Linked DNA regions of Arabidopsis thaliana. The protein of the gene in region 2 purifies or fractionates together with the protein of the main gene of each other region. This does not show direct contact. Each region holds a gene or a part of one and is shown on either strand. Other genes may lie near its edges.

Evidence for each region.
Region 1: the proteins of PP2A (region 2) and ATB BETA fractionate together in Arabidopsis thaliana (co-fractionation; one large-scale study listed by BioGRID). This does not show direct contact.

The regions. Positions count from the first base shown.
Region 1 is NC_003070.9:6,091,923-6,102,263, forward strand, and holds ATB BETA (Protein phosphatase 2A, regulatory subunit PR55), read right to left. Parts: upstream 6,518-10,341; 5' UTR 6,144-6,517; coding exon 6,038-6,143; intron 5,208-6,037; coding exon 5,104-5,207; intron 5,022-5,103; coding exon 4,926-5,021; intron 4,839-4,925; coding exon 4,719-4,838; intron 4,468-4,718; coding exon 4,291-4,467; intron 4,002-4,290; coding exon 3,910-4,001; intron 3,641-3,909; coding exon 3,522-3,640; intron 3,374-3,521; coding exon 3,250-3,373; intron 3,064-3,249; coding exon 2,940-3,063; intron 2,834-2,939; coding exon 2,765-2,833; intron 2,684-2,764; coding exon 2,592-2,683; intron 2,494-2,591; coding exon 2,416-2,493; intron 2,314-2,415; coding exon 2,246-2,313; intron 2,164-2,245; coding exon 2,027-2,163; 3' UTR 1,286-2,026; downstream 1-1,285. Other genes in the region: PEPC1 (Pyridoxal phosphate phosphatase-related protein), read right to left, coding at 1-53; VPS46.1 (vacuolar protein sorting 46.1), read left to right, coding at 7,288-7,612, 7,945-8,231; PGDH (D-3-phosphoglycerate dehydrogenase), read left to right, coding at 9,235-9,857; AT1G17744 (uncharacterized protein), read right to left, coding at 9,433-9,873. UniProt on the Arabidopsis thaliana protein: The B regulatory subunit may modulate substrate selectivity and catalytic activity, and may also direct the localization of the catalytic enzyme to a particular subcellular compartment.
Region 2 is NC_003070.9:26,346,676-26,353,480, forward strand, and holds PP2A (serine/threonine protein phosphatase 2A), read right to left. Parts: upstream 4,023-6,805; 5' UTR 3,837-4,022; coding exon 3,581-3,836; intron 3,153-3,580; coding exon 3,038-3,152; intron 2,952-3,037; coding exon 2,843-2,951; intron 2,746-2,842; coding exon 2,668-2,745; intron 2,583-2,667; coding exon 2,217-2,582; 3' UTR 2,046-2,216; downstream 1-2,045. UniProt on the Arabidopsis thaliana protein: Associates with the serine/threonine-protein phosphatase PP2A regulatory subunits A and B' to positively regulates beta-oxidation of fatty acids and protoauxins in peroxisomes by dephosphorylating peroxisomal beta-oxidation-related proteins.

The DNA of each region.
Region 1 (10,341 bases), about 20 Mb from region 2:
ATGATTGTCTTGTCAAAATCGAAGACGATCACGATGTTGTTATTCTTAGCCATTCTATCAGATACAATGTTTTATAGGTACTGTTTTATCGATTTCTGTATGATTATGGAATTTGGAGAAGAAGAATGTGATATATATACGAGTGAGAGAAGGTGAAAAGGCTAGAGACGAATAGGGATCTTTCGAGGAAGATGCCATTGGAATATTACTTACCGTCAAACGCAAGGTAAGATAGATAATTAAGAATCCTAATCTGATATGATTCGTATCTTTTGAACCGTTAGATCTGATGACGTTTATGTGTCAAACATTGACTAGGTATACTGATCCAACGGTGTTGATGACTCTTTGGTTTATTTTGTGGGTATTATTTAGTTTGGCTTGTTAAAAGTTTTATTTAGTGGGATTTAGGCAGTTGAGATTTGAGAAGACACCGGAATGGAATAAGATAAAAAAAAAGAATATTCCACCTATTTATGCGTTTTCGTCATTATTTTCATTTTTATTAAAGGAAAATAAAATCCGTTACCCAAAAAGGTTTATTTTTCTTTTAATACGCAACCCAAAAAAAGTAAAAAATGCAAAATGAATATATTGGTGTTTATCGTATGAATAAGTTTTGATTTATCATGGGATGAAAAATAAATAAATGTGCATGGGATAGTTGCTTTATGTCACACATTTGATCGATAAAGTTAATTGTAAAAACCACAACATTCATACTCGATTGGATTTAAACTTAAAAACATGAAATTTATCGAAATATATGGGAATTGCATCAGAAGGCACTAGGAAGGAATAAGGTTGCAACTTGGAAGGAATATTGAGTGACAAATCACAATTGTAAGCAGAAAGAATATTCTAGGGGTTAAGGATCACATCATCTTTTCATTTGGTAGCCACATCTTTCAATATTCATCTGTATTTGATTTCTTCAATAACAATTAAAAGTATTCTAACCAAACAAGTCTTAGCATGACAACAAAACAAATGTGTGTGTGTGTGTGTAATCCTCTATCTATAAAATAATATACTTCTATCAGACATTATCAGAAGAGACGCATCAAAACAAGCTTCTTTTATTTCTCTTCCTCGTGTCTTTAGATTGTGATATAGAACAAGGAACATAATATTTTATATCTAGTTGTAAATCTTGTGGCACCACGAAAAAACTACATTTCACTGCATCCACTACCTCAATTGGCAAACATTTCATTTTTCTTAGCAGAAATCAAATTAAGTTACGTAATATTAATGTTGCCCTCGACACTCTTCTTGAGGTAAGGATACATATATTCAATTCATCGCATCCTTTAAAGTATTACAATCAGTAGTCAAAGATAATTTTATTTGCTTACAATAGAATCTACGAGGAATGGAGGAGAAAGCTACTTTTTATTGTGGGTAAAAGTAAAAAACACAAAAGAGGTGTCTGAAAATACAATTGAAAAATAGACAAATAGCAAAAAAACAGAATGGATGTGGTGTTCAAGAAGAAGAAGAAGATATGACAAAAGAATCAATAAACAAATTTTGAAGCACATCCCTCCCAATCGTCTCATACTAAAAAATCCCACACACCATAATTTGTTTCTTAATTGAAAAAAAAAAGGTAATAGAATCGATACTAAAAAAATAAAATAAAATTTATCCTTAGTGCAGCAACCCAAAAAAAAGACAACCTAAGTAGGAGGGGTGGTTCGGATATTTAAGACATTACCCTTCTTCAGGTAAACAAAAGGCCTCTTCTTGTTTTCTTTCCCAACCCAACACTTTTTACCTTACTAACTCCTGAAAGATTACTGTTGCTGCTTCTTCCGTTGACTCGTCGCGGTGACTGGTCAGGCTTTGGTCTTGGTCACAGCATTACTCTGTTACTACTACACCTTTTCTGGTTACATCATGACTTTGGTTGTTAAAAGAAAGAGAGAAAGAGAGTGAGAGAGAGACCCGGGAAAAGAAGAAAGGGAAAGTTAAATTGGAGCAAGCTGATTCCATGTTTATGTCTTCTCTCTCTCTTCCCAACTCATGCATAGTACATGTACAAGCTGTTTGCTGCTGCACAAGCAATTGAGTTCTCTGTTGGGTGCCAAGCCATATGCAGCAACTTTGTTGTGAAATCGTAGGCGTTCCCATTTGCCTCTGTTCCGGGACTCTCTGATCCTGCGTCCAAAACAAAAGTTTTTTACTCCAGAAGAGAGTAGTAAAAGCTTGAATAAGTTTTACAGGTACTATGACCACTAACCTCGTCTAACCACGCGTGTCATACTGCCTATAGATCTGGATGGTCTTGCAGGTGTCTGGATTTGCCTCCTAATATATACCATTGATGCGAAAGTTTTGCAACAATTGATCAATACAAACTTCAATGACTTAATAAGGTTAACTATCAATGTTCTCTGTTTTCTGATTTACCTCATCGGGTTTTTGCTAGCTTCCAAAGTCGCAGCTTCAGTACTTCCTTGAGACGCTCCAAATACGCGGAATAGATTGCTGGTTCACCGGAGATTAAGTATAATAAATTGGTCATTAGTTTATTCCTTATACAAGACAGAAAAGTACAGCAATGACCAGAAGACAAGCAAGTCAACCTGTAAGAACCTGTTGCTACCCTCAATCCATCGCCACTCAGACAACACTCAAATTTATCAAAGATGGAGTCATTTTCATATAGATCGCATAGCTGCAACCGGGTAAAACATAACGTGGTTAGCTTTCAACACAGAATCAACAAATAAAAGATGCCACAGAAAGAAGCTCTCACCCTGGGTCTCAGATGTTCATGAACCTGGTAAGATGCGACCGGACCAGAATCCATGTTTATGTCCCACAGCTGAAACGTCAAAAAGGGTAAAAGATATCAGAAAGAACTAAAGAATAGACCTCTATTGGCCCACAATCAGAAAAATATACACAAAGGGAACCGAATGATTTCCAACCTTGAGCGTCATGTAATCGCGACTAAGTATGTATCTCCCATCCTTTGAGAATTTAATATCTGAAATTGAGGCAATTATCTCTGTGAAAAATGATCTTGAACCAGGTGCTTCCGGTTCTTCAAATCTGTGATATGAAGCAACAATGGTCAGTGGTCAGAAACTTTAGCCTATTAATCTTCATTTCCAAGTCATTTCTGACAAGAAAAGAGAAAAATTGGAAATGAACCCACGTATTCATATCCCCTTCTTAAGTATATATTGAAACATGCAACTACCATTTCCGATAAAGGATGATGAGAACAGAACTTACAATTTCGTATGAGAATCACACAGAGCTGATTGACGCATATCAATCAAACGAATGGAGCCTTTTGAACTACTATATGCGAGCATATTACAATGGATAGGATGAAACTCAGCTGATGTAATAACCTCTGCACAGACCATGTAGCATTTAGAAGCATGCTCGACAAGCAGTAAACGTGAAAAAAATAGATAATAAAAGTAAGGAGGTTGTTGACATATGAATCAATGGTAAGACCATACAAAGTAACATCTAACAAAATAGGAGAAGTAGCATACCAGTTAAGTCCTCCATGTTTGTGGGCTTAACATCAACAATATTGAAACTCTGGTTGCTAATTTCCAAATTCCAGAGATTTACTCGCAGATCATCAGCCGAAATAAAGGTTTCTCCGTCACTGTAACAATTAAGGGAACGATTCATTACCACAAGGAACAAAACAATGCAATACAAGTTGTGAAATTTAGGATCAACAAGATTTTCGACAAAGAGAATAATAGCACGACCAGACATGGAAAGACATGCAAAATAAAATTCTAAGGATTTTTTAGATATTAGCATTGTTTCCTGAGATGGAAAAATTAAGGAGAAAGACAGCAAAAACGTGTTAAAGAGATATCAAGAGTAAAACATATAACCTGAGGGAAAACTTAGGAAAACGATTACCTGCTATTGGAGATTGAATTAATATGGTAATCATGAGCATGGGCATACACTCTTCGGCATCTAGCCACAAGGTTAGTCTCCTGGCTGGTAACCTATATATGCAGAAACACCCATAAGTTCAAGTAGAACACAAATTGACTAGTGCATTAGACTAATTTGGTACTGAGCTTTAGTTACGACAAAAGGAAACAAGGCCAATAGTAAATTCCCTACATTTCATAACTCAAGTAGCTGGATCATCAACATGAAGAAAATATCCACAACTTCCAGTAAAAAACAGGCTTAATATCTATACGCATTTACTTTTCAGAATCCTGAAATTAAAACTCACTTCATTTGACACCCAAACAAAAAGTAAAAAAAAGTTGCGTCGAGTACAACTACCACAGGCAAACGCAGAGATGGAATGCCTCCTGGCGGGAAAGAAAAGTCCTTGCTCAGGTAGTCATGCCCTTTATCAGCAGGTAATCCATTAGTAACTAATTGAGGAGGGATATTTGAACTTTCTGACGGATCAATATTCATTTCACTAATTTTCTTGATCTTCTTCTCTTGTACCTGTTTGATTCCAAATAAGAGGAGGAGTCAAATTATAAGAGTAAAGAAACAAACTATTTCTCTTATTTTGAATTGAGTCTTGGAAGCAAAAGAAACCAGTTTCTAGACAGTTTTCACACGTGACACCTAATATTTCTACACTATAAAGCATATGAAACAAGATTATGGAACCGAGTTACACAGAAAGGAATTGCTATAAGTGGCCTATATTTTGCAGACATGTGATATAAAAATCCATCCAGATGTCACACCTTCCAATATTTGATGGTTTTATCGTTTGTAGAAAGCAGAAACAATGCACCATTAGCTGGCTGACACCATCTGATTTTGTTGATTTTCTCCTCTATCTCCAAACTCTTGAGATAGTCAAACTGAAACAGATTGAAAAGCAAGCTTATTGAGTAGCTCAAGGAACACAATTACTCGTAAGTGAAATCTGGTGATAAGTTTTAATGTACCTCTGGTTCATGACTCTGAAATTCTGTTTTATATCGAAACTCAGGATGCCTAACTGGGTAATCCGTCTGCTCAAGATCCTTCCTGGACCCTCCATGCTGAAAGTAACATTTTGCAAGAGTGCGTTACAGCACATAACATTTTTTCGAAACAAATCTTGCAGAAGAAAAAGGAACTCACATCTTTAGTATCTGTCCTTTCAAAAAGAACTACTCGGCCCCCACGGTCACCAGTTGCGAGATGGTCTCCACTTTTATCAAATTCGATGGCTGAAATGATGTCAACTGCGGAAGAAATGTGTGCAAACAGAATCATTACATCAGAAGTCACCACTAAATTGTAGGAGCTAAACACATAATAACCTTGAGGTGCAGCTAGTATATTATTCTCCATAACATAGAGTATGTAAACCGGTAAAGAAGATTACATCCAATAACATGAGAGCAGATTAAATTTATCTAATACGGAAAGTGCCTCTGAAGGCAACCTAGTTACATCAATACTCCGGGAAGTCTTATCAGCCAGAAGAGAGCAGCTATAGACCAACTCAATATTACAAATTCAATTCATGAACCCAAAATGCATGACCAATGATAACCCTTCACACTTGTCCCTCGACAACCCAATCCCTCATCGCTTCATATGCCTTTCTTGCTGTTAAACAGAGTCGAGACACCATTGTACCAGTGGAAAAAAGTATACATGGCTTATGGCATTGAACAGACAAAACCTTGAAGCTAGATTACCCTCTTAATCTCAACTTAAAACTATCATCAGCGTATCAAATGATTCAAATTTACAGCAGTACAGCTGAAACTTGTACAAAAATGAGAGTTACAACCTCGCAACAATCAGCTAAATAGAGATGCTCTAATATCACATAATACACAACAATCCAAACTTGTCATAGAACTTAGAAACTCTACTAACAGTGCAATAAAAGCCACAGAGATTCATCAATGACCCACTAAGTAGTAGAGGAATAACTCACTAATCAGATCCAAACAACAAATCAAACCCTTAGTCCTCAAATACACTCCGGATCTAAAAGAAAAAAGAAGAGCTAAACTCCGAATATATCTCACAATTTATAACACACGTAGGCAATAATTACCTTCCTGAACTTCTTCTCCGGCGGTTCGCTCACCGAAGACCTGAGAGAATCTCCACTCTAAAGACGGAGGAGGACCACTAGTAGCGGCATCGTCACCACCGTTCATTTTTTTTTTTTGGCTTTTGGGTTAGATAATCCAACAAAAATTAGAAATCCGAGCTTGAGATCTGAGCTTCCAAATCTTTTAATCACCGAATCGAATCGAAGATCGCGTCATCACCATAACCAAATCCTTTGATTCACATTCCATTCCATAGTTTTATTCATGGATTTTTTCGCGATTGAAGCAACTTGATCGATGATTAATATTTCGTCCCTCTCTCTCTCTCTCTCTCTCTCTCTCTCTCTGTAGAAAATGGAATTTTTGATATATCTCTCTGTAGAAAATGGAGGAACGAGAGAAGAAAAACGCCTTGGCCTTTTTCTCTCTCTAAAAGGACAAAAGTGGAATTATAACTTTTTTCTTTTTTTTTTCCTTCGAGACCAAAACGAAGGAACAAATCCGTATAAGTTAATATGTCTAATACTATAATGTTTTTGTCCTGATTCCAAAGTATCCTTAGCGTTACAGTCGGTGACATTATTTATTTGACCACTACATATCGGTGGACAGTGACATATGTTTTCGCCTATCATTGGTCAGTTGTGGAGGTGCTGCGCTTTCCACTGTTGTGTTGTGTGATGGGGGAAAATGTATAATTATCATTAGTAAGTACTAAATAATTATTTTTGCCAAATTATCCTAAATAGAATTCCATTGCACATTTGTTTTTTCTAATCTGATATTATCATATCTTACTTGAGAAAAATTACAAGTTTCTTTCAGGGGTCAAAATTAACTCATGAGAATACCCAAGCGGTAGAAAAAAAGAAAAACGATTGAAACCAGTACAAATCAAATGAATTTAAAAAGTATTACTATAGTTTATACCAAATGTATTTGGATGGTGAATAATCAAAACTGAAACGAATAAGTCAAAGGAGTGTTTTTTTTTTATAACTACTAACCACTCAGACTCAGTGACGGATTAAAAGATTAAAACTTAAACCGGATATAACCGAATAATAGAACCAGTCAGTGCAATTCGATTTAGGACATAATGTTAGGAAGCCTCCTCGTTTAAAAGTTAAAACCTCTCTTTCTGCGGAAGAAACACGCTTGAGATATCTTTCCCCAAATTCGAAAGAACCCTAATTTTTTCCGATTCCGATTGATCAAACAAGCGAATCCCGATTAACTGATCGAGGAGATGGGTAATACAGATAAGCTGATGAACCAGATCTTTGAATTGAAATTTACGTCAAAGTCTCTGCAGAGGCAAGCTAGGAAGTGCGAAAAAGAGGAGAGATCGGAGAAGCTCAAGGTAAAGAAAGCCATTGAGAAAGGTAACATGGATGGTGCTCGGATCTATGCCGAGAACGCCATTCGCAAACGCAGCGAGCAGATGAACTACCTTCGTCTCTCTTCTCGATTGGACGCTGTTGTTGCTCGACTCGATACCCAGGCTAAGATGGCTACCATCACCAAATCGATGACCAACATTGTCAAATCCCTCGAATCGTCTCTTACCACTGGTATTTCACATTCTCACTTTTCAGCAATCTAATCAATTTGGTTTTGTTGGTGCTCATAGCATTATAGTATAGATTGAAAAATTCTGCTCCTTGTTGTTGTTTTTGCTGATTGAAGGATATGGAATCATGCATTAGGGTTTGGTTTGATGAAATATTAGAATAGCTCTCTCTCACCGTCATGGATGTTCTGTGATCTGTGATGAATTTTTGTTGCATTTCTCTCCTTTTGGTAAGTGTAGTATAGAGGGAGAAGAAGATAGGGCTTATAATACTCTTATACGTTGTGCTGTAGCAACTCGTGTTATCATTTTCTGGTTTGTTCTTTGCAACAGGCAACTTACAGAAGATGTCTGAGACGATGGATTCGTTTGAGAAACAGTTTGTGAACATGGAAGTCCAAGCTGAGTTCATGGATAATGCAATGGCTGGCTCTACTTCATTGTCGACTCCAGAAGGAGAAGTCAACAGCTTGATGCAGCAAGTAGCAGATGATTACGGTCTTGAAGTTTCTGTTGGACTACCTCAGCCTGCTGGTCATGCCATTCCTACCAAGACTGAAGAGAAAGTTGAGGAGGATGATTTAACCAGGAGACTTGCCGAGCTTAAAGCCAGAGGTTAATTAGCTAACCTAACAAAAAAAAAAACTGTATTTGGATTCTTCTTTTATTGAGATGTTGATGCTATTAATCCCTGAACATGATGGGAATGTTTGTGTAAATTGCTCACCCTGGTACATGCTTTTGTTTATATAAAACCTAGAGTGTGTTTTTACAATGAGAAATTTCATCATCTGCTTAATGGTTTGGATTAGTTGTACAAATGTTAATTCTCCAGATGTGTCTCTGGTAGTAGTTCCACCAAATTTTCCAGGTCCAGAAAGGAATACACTGGAGTAAAAGGTATATTCTTTCCAAGGAGAAGAATGTTTATAGTACTCTTGGTGGATTGTTGCAGTTGTCAACTTGGGAGAGAGGATGATATGGTGAAGTCTCCTCCCTCTCTCCCATGTCTTGTTCATTGCAAAGTCTTGTTCTTTCATGTTTCTTTTCATATACACTTGTTAATGAATAAAGTTGAAAAAATTCGTGAGGAAAAGTCCGAATCTATCTTCTCTGCAAAAATAAAATTAAGTAAAAGAAACATAAAGTTATGGTTTAAAGATGCTTTCGGAAACTCCATCATTTTAGTGGGAGAATCACATAAAAGATTGGTCGTCAATTATTTTTCTTTTATTAATAAGGATGCACATGATGATGAATATTAACCGTAATATACTAATATAGATGACAATGTATTTCAGTGCTAAATTATAGTAACAATTAATTGAATGCTTAAATGAATCTTTTATTATATACTACTTTATATGTGTTTTTTTTGTTTTAATTGAGACAATGATGATGCACCTAGACAAGAACGTCCTACTCTCTGTGCATGTGCTTCTCATTTTATTTACTCTTTTACCAAACAAACTGTTCAACTTAATACATAATGTTGGTAGCCCACAATGTGAAAGATTAAATTAAAACTCATCCATTACCTCCTGTAAGCTCTATATTAACCACTTTAGCTCTTCTGCACACACTCACAACAACCAATCATATTTATTATTAAAAAAAAGAGTCATGGCATTTTCATCTTCGTGTTCGTCCGTCAAAGCCGTCAACTCACGGTGGACGTCTCCGTCTCCGTCACCGTCTTCTAGATTCGCCGTCCTCCCTGCTTTCCTTCACCGCCGTTACGCAACAAGCGTCAAACTAACGGCCATAAGCGCCGCCTTAAAAACCGTCGAGCAAACGACGTTAACAGAGGATAACAGATTCTCAACCGTCGGATCTGACTCTGATGAATACAATCCAACTCTTCCAAAGCCGAGGATCCTCGTCACCGAGAAACTGGGAGAAGCCGGCGTGAATCTCCTCAGGGAATTCGGCGACGTTGACTGCTCTTACGATCTTTCGCCGGAAGATCTGAAGAAGAAAGTGGCGGAGAGTGACGCTCTGATCGTGAGAAGCGGAACTAAAGTGACGAGGGAAGTGTTTGAGGCGGCGAAGGGGAGGTTGAAAGTGGTCGGAAGAGCCGGAGTTGGGATTGACAATGTTGATCTGCAGGCGGCGACGGAGCACGGGTGTTTGGTGGTTAATGCTCCAACGGCTAATACGGTGGCTGCTGCCGAACATGGAATTGCTTTGCTTGCTTCTATGGCACGTAACGTTGCTCAGGCCGACGCTTCTATTAAAGCCGGTACGTTCCCGGTTAGCCATTTTTTTTTTGTTTTATTGAAATGAGACATTTAACCAATTAACCTATCTAGATTAACTTAAAGCTTATACTATGTTTCACACCATGGAAAAGAAAAAACTAATCTAACATGTTTTAGTCTCGCAAAGATTACGAGATCTGATGAAGTCCAAATTATCTTGATTACAAAAAAGAAGAATTGATTATCATTGATTAATCGATAGATATTGAATATTTCGTTTTGTTCATATATTGAGAAGAGTTAATGGTCCATTTGAATAATTCCAGTATAGTGGCGTTACTCGTAAGTGTTTCTTCGTAATAATTGCTCAGTTGATCTTTGGAGTTATGCATTATAGCATAGAAGTGGCAATTTGTCATTGGATAGTAGAAAAGTCATGATTAGAAGCAAAAATAAAATTGGTTTACGTAAGTAGAACAAAAGGGGAAAATCATATTTGATCCTCTCCCTGTAAGATGGAAAAAACAAA
Region 2 (6,805 bases):
TTCGCATTTGAGGAACCATTTGATTAGATGTAGGAGGAGAACTAATGGTAACAACAACGGTGTTGCTCAGTATTTCGTTAAGGGGAAGAAGAAAGAGTTAGCTAATGAGCGGATAAAGGATGAAGAAGTGCTTAGTGTAGTGAATGTTAGATATGAACATGAGAAAGAAGAACATGAAGATGTTAATGTTGTGAGTATGGGTTTGGATCAGAGGCGGTGTCGATTCGATTTAGCCAGGATGATTATCTTACATGGTTATCCGTTGAGTATGGTTGAAGATGTTGGATTCAGAATGTTTATTGGAAATTTACAGCCTTTGTTTGAGCTTGTTGCTTTTGAAAGAGTTGAATCTGATTGTATGGAGATTTATGCGAAAGAGAAGCATAAGATTTTCGAAGCGTTGGATAAGTTACCTGGGAAGATTAGTATTAGTGTTGATGTGTGGAGTGGTTCGGGTGATTCTGATGAATTCTTGTGTTTGGCAGCGCATTATATTGATGAAGGATGGGAATTGAAAAAGAGAGTTTTGAACTTCTTTATGGTTGATCCATCTCATAGTGGTGAGATGCTTGCTGAAGTTATAATGACGTGTTTGATGGAGTGGGATATTGACCGGAAGTTGTTTTCTATGGCGTCGAGTCATGCTCCTCCGTTTAGTGAGAACGTAGCTAGTAAAATCAGAGACCGGTTATCGCAGAATAAGTTCCTTTACTGTTACGGCCAATTGTTTGATGTGAGCTGTGGAGTTAATGTCATTAACGAGATGGTTCAAGATTCCCTGGAAGCTTGTTGTGACACAATAAACATTATTCGAGAGAGTATTAGATATGTTAAAAGCTCAGAATCTATTCAAGATAGATTCAACCAGTGGATAGTTGAAACGGGAGCTGTAAGTGAAAGGAACCTATGCATCGATGACCCAATGAGATGGGACTCAACATGCACCATGCTGGAGAATGCTTTAGAGCAAAAGAGCGCGTTTTCGCTCATGAATGAACATGATCCTGATTCCGTGTTATGTCCATCTGATTTGGAATGGGAGAGATTAGGAACAATTGTTGAGTTCTTGAAAGTCTTTGTTGAAGTGATAAATGCATTCACAAAGAGCAGTTGTTTACCCGCCAATATGTACTTCCCAGAGGTATGCGACATACACCTCCGGTTAATTGAGTGGAGCAAGAACCCGGATGATTTCATTAGCTCTCTAGTTGTAAACATGAGAAAGAAATTTGACGATTTCTGGGATAAAAACTACCTGGTTCTAGCCATCGCTACCATATTAGACCCGCGGTTCAAAATGAAGCTGGTTGAATACTATTACCCTCTGTTTTATGGTACTAGTGCTTCAGAGCTCATTGAAGATATTTCTGAGTGCATCAAACTGCTGTACGATGAGCATTCTGTAGGATCGCTATTAGCGTCGTCAAATCAAGCTCTTGACTGGCAGAATCATCATCATCGGTCAAACGGTGTTGCCCATGGGAAAGAGCCTGACGATAGACTCACAGAATTCGATAGGTACATTAACGAAACAACTACTACACCGGGTCAAGACTCTAAATCAGATCTAGAAAAGTATCTAGAAGAGCCACTTTTTCCCCGGAATTCAGATTTCGACATCCTGAACTGGTGGAAAGTTCACACACCTAAGTACCCAATTCTCTCCATGATGGCACGTAACGTGTTAGCAGTTCCAATGTTGAATGTATCATCAGAAGAAGACGCCTTTGAAACTTGTCAAAGGAGACGGGTTAGTGAAACATGGCGTTCGCTTAGACCGAGTACCGTGCAAGCCTTGATGTGTGCACAAGATTGGATCCAAAGCGAACTAGAAAGCTCTTGAAACTCTCGATTCATCTTATTTTGATCTGAGTGTTGTTTTTCTATAGATTAGATCTCAGCTCCAGCTTGTTTGTTTATTGTCTGTACCTCTCCACAACATTCATATTTATATCTACCTAGCTAGGGCTTTTGCTGTGTAACATGATCATCATTTCTCTGTACAAAGTTGGCTTCAATAGAATTTGGTGATAGCGGTTTCAGTTACTTGGACCAGAATCTTTGCACACAAAAAATTACGGATTTTAAAAGACAATGGAGAGTTTAACAAACAGAAATAGACGTAAGGAATATGAAATTACAAAAAGTGGTTAAGAATAGAAGCAAAAGAGACGAAGAGCTAGTGTGTGGAATTGCAGCTTTAGTTCTTTTGGTACTTACAAAAAATAATCTGGAGTCTTGCGAGTGGTTTCGGGTTCGACTTGACGTGGAGCTGGATCAAACTGAAGGAAATTCTGGTCCATGTTCTCACCGATCTCTAGAATCGCAGCCATGTTGCCACAACGGTAGCAATAGTTTGGGGCACTAAATACAGTCACAACGTTCTTTTCTTGGCACCAATTAAAACCTTCCATGACAAGTTGATGTGCTCTTGAAATCAGAGAGAGTCCATTGGTGTGGTTAAACTGAGTAGCGATATCTTGTCCGAAAGTGTAGCCTGCACCACGAGGAGATATTCCCCAACCGCATCGGTCATCTGGATCAGACCATAAGAGATCACACATTGGTCCTTCATGTGGAACCTAGAGGCAACACAAACATCTTAGTCTCGTTATGTAAACATCAAGTAAGGTGCATCCTTTTGTTGGTTTGGATTCTGGAACTAACCTCTTGAATTCGATCTAAAGATCGGATGTTGTCAAGTGTATCTAAAGAAGGTGAAAGTCCTCCATGTAAACAGAAAACCTACAGAAAAAAAGAGTTCTGTAGTCAAGTCCAAAACAGCAGAAACAGAGAAGAGATTGTCTAAGGTAGTGAAAACGCTCATTAGTTTTTTAAATACCTGACTCTCAATAAGAGCTGTAAGTGGAAGATAATCAAAAAGATCAGTGAAGTGCTTCCATACATTAGCATTTCCATATTTCCTCAAACATTCATCATAAAACCCATACCTGAAAAAGGTAAGCAATCAGCAAGAAACATTTTGAGAGAGGCTGAGAAGCTTATAATACAAAACTTAGTAGAGAAAACAACTTACACTTGAGTAATTTGACGGCTTTCATGATTCCCTCTTAGGATAGTAAGTCTATCTCTGTAACGAACTTTCAGTGCTACCAAAAGTGAGACTGTCTCCACAGAATAATACCCTCGATCTTCACAAGTTTAACAATGATCCATTAGTTAGCTAATTGAGCAACTTAAGTAGGAAACGGAGCTTAAGGCACTTAAACAGAGAAAAGAGAAACACAAATCCGAGTACTCGAACATGAAGCTTCACAAACTACATTAAAATGTTATATCTCCCAAGGTCAAGCTACTCCATTGTAGAAGCCCTGAGAATAGTTAACAGCTAAAACAAAAGTTTCGTCTTTTCAATGACAAAATCTTCCAAAACCAAAACTTTTCGATAGATAAACAATAATCTATCCATTTCTAGTAAACACTTCCAAATAAGTCTACATTAGCCCCAAAAGGTCAACAAAATCAAATCCAAATTAGGGAAAATACCCAAATCCAAATCAAGAGATGTGAGAAATGTAGAAACCCTAAAAAAAGCTATAAGGTAAAGAGAGACTCTCACCAACATAATCACCCATGAAAAGATAATTAGTATCAGGAGAAGAACCACCGATACGAAAAAGCTCGATTAGATCGTAAAATTGGCCGTGGATATCACCGCAGACGGTAACCGGACATTTAACCGGTTGAACATTATACTCTTCCACAAGAATCGTCTTTGCGTGCTCACACAACATCTTCACCTCCGTTTCAGATAACGCTTTACACTCCATAAGCTGCTCGATCTGACGATCGATATCTCCGGTCGCCGGCGGCATCTTTCTCCGATCTAAAGTAAATATAAACAATCCGGATTGTTTTTAATCTCGGATCCGGTTTGTGTTTGGATTCAATCTATCTATCATCATCATCACTCCATGGATTTAGAAGAAGAGAAATTGTGAATTTCGATTTTTGTTGGAACTTTGTATTTGTTTTCTTTTCATCGGAGTTGATAATTAATTATTCTCTCCGGCAGCCGCACCGAGTCAAAGTCCATTGTGGGGGTCTGACACGTGGCTTTCATTTTTTCAGGCCCATTCATAGGGTCGTTAATCGTTTAGCCCATTTGGCCCAACGAAATTGAAAGAACTATAACATAGCCCACCATAATCATAAAACTTTAACCATCGTTTAAACTTTAAAGCTTCGTTGAAACTTGAAACTCATAAACTTTTAACCTTAAATGTAACTCCTAATTCCAAATTAGTAAACCCTAATCATCATTTTAACGTAGTCGAAGCTCAGACCACTGAACCTTATCGTACATGCGAAAGTGTTCGCTCCAAAAATATGTCCCAAGAGAAAAATGTAAGATAAGAGTATATGACATTTGGTATGCGGATGAAAAGTTTCATACAAATTAAACTATTTTCATAATTTTCCTTTAATTTATTCGTTCACCTTTATTGTTGTCTTTGTAATTAAGTAACTATGAATAATTGTTAATTAAAATTTCTAGAGCGATAGGAGCAGTCGTATATGTTTAGTTCAAATGTTCCAGCTTTAAGACTGGTCTTCAGTTACTTTTGATTATGAAGACTGGAAGCCCAAAAAAAAAAAAAAAAAAAAGACAAAAAGAAGTTGATTGATTATTATGTCTCTGTTTAGTCTGTCTAATGCGTTTGGTAATAATTCAAATTAAAGATATTCAAACTCTTGAAATTGTGAACTTTAAAAGTGAACATGTAGGGATCATATATTATATATATGTTTAATTTTGCTTAATTAAGACAGAAAAAATAATGGTATTATATATTTGCTTTACCATGCACATATGTTCGAGAGTTACTTGTAAACCATTTTATATGTGGAACTCATGTTTTAATGGAAGAAGACATTTCATGTATCAAGTTTATCGTGGATGGTTGTAGAAGATTTTATAGAGCCGAACCGTAAACTCATGATTTTGCTATATATTCTTGCTTTTCTTTATTTGCAAATAATTAATCTACATTATTTGGTTAGTAATTCTTTTTTCAAGAACCTTCTCATCTCATAACTAGTCATACACTACGATAAATTGTAATACCGGTTCTCATTTTTTGTTCTTTTCATTTTAATACATATTAGCATATGTTGCGTAGTGTGTATGTTGGTGGTGTAGTAAATTAGTAAGCTAAGTCTAATAGTTTTTTGTATTTCAAGATTAGTAAAATTAATTTAGAAATTAGAAATATATGGAAAATAAGTGAAAAAAGAGCGAGAAAATGAGTAGTGGTAGAGTTAACCCCACAAAAGAACAAAAGAATAAAAGATGGGAAAAAAGCATAACACAAAGAAGCATTGTGGTCTCCTTTATTTGTAAGAACCATTACACACATTCTCCTTTTCAAATTTCGGCATTTAGAGCTCAAATTATATCATATATATATGCCATTGCATTTATAAATTATTAATATCTTATGTATCCAATCTTTGTCGACATCTCTTTTATTTGCCCCTTTGGAAGAATATATGCTTTCAGAATACATCAATAAATAATGGATTCGACATTTTTTTTAATGATTGGATAAGACTCTTTCAAAGTACAATTGTTCTTTACAAAAAAAAAATCCATCTTAATTCTTTTTTTTTCATTCAAAACATGTGATAAGAATCATATATTGTCTATATATAGAACCATTTTGTGCGAGTGTTTTGGTAATCTACAATTTCTAATCGTGAATATATACACAAGGGTCAATCAGGTACGTAATTATGATGTTTTCATTTGTTTTAAAAAAACACACTTGTGCGCGCTCTCTCTAAAATACCATGTTATTTTGTCTGCCAAATCTGAATTGAATTAGCATGTTATTTAGAACAACATAGGGTACTGCTATTTGATAAGAAAGCATGTTAGTAATAAAATAGTACCCATTTTGTGTTTTTGCACATAAAAGGAGTACACAATTATTTACCTAACTTAATAAATGTTAATGATCATTTAGTGCAAGTACCCAATAAACAATGTGAGTAAGGAAATAAAGCATCTAAACGTTATTTGATGATGGATCAAATTAGAAATAATCCCAATATAAGTCGTGCAATGCGTGAGAAAACAGGATTGCATTGCATGTACGTATACTTCTTTTCTTTCTTGAAATCCTTTTAATAATCAGTGTCTTCATTTTTTTAAAACCTCCCCTAACTAGCTCAATATTTCTTCACTATAGGAACAAAACAAACATTTAAAAAAAAAAAAAACAGAATTGTAGGGTCACAAATATTTTGCGCATATTTAAAAGATTCGATCCCAAATGAAAGGAAAAGAGAATCTAGCAGCAATACAAGACCTATATTAATTTGCCAACAATTATACTTCTCTCTCTCTTTCTGCTTCTTACCCAAGCTTTAACCGTACTTATGCTCTTCCTGGTGGTCGTCTTGAATTCCCTGCTCTCCTGTATTAAGACAGAACATAGAGTTACTTAATCCAAGTCATGTTTTCTTGTTTTTCTTTACTTTCGTATAAACGATAACAAATCATACAACATTAATTCATTAATTGATATTTTAGTGATTTAGTCAATAGACTACTTTAATACGATCTACATGGAATTAACTGTGATCATAAGTGGGTTACCTATATAACTAAGAAAAAAAAGGGAGTGTTCAAAGGGCTAAAGCTTCCATAAAGGAAAAAAGAAAGTTTTTAAAAGAAGCCATCTTATAGTGAATAATTAAAAATAGATTGTTAAACGTAAAGACTGAATAAAGCTAGCAGACAGCCTTTTGCGAGCTTCTGTGATATGTCTCACCGAAT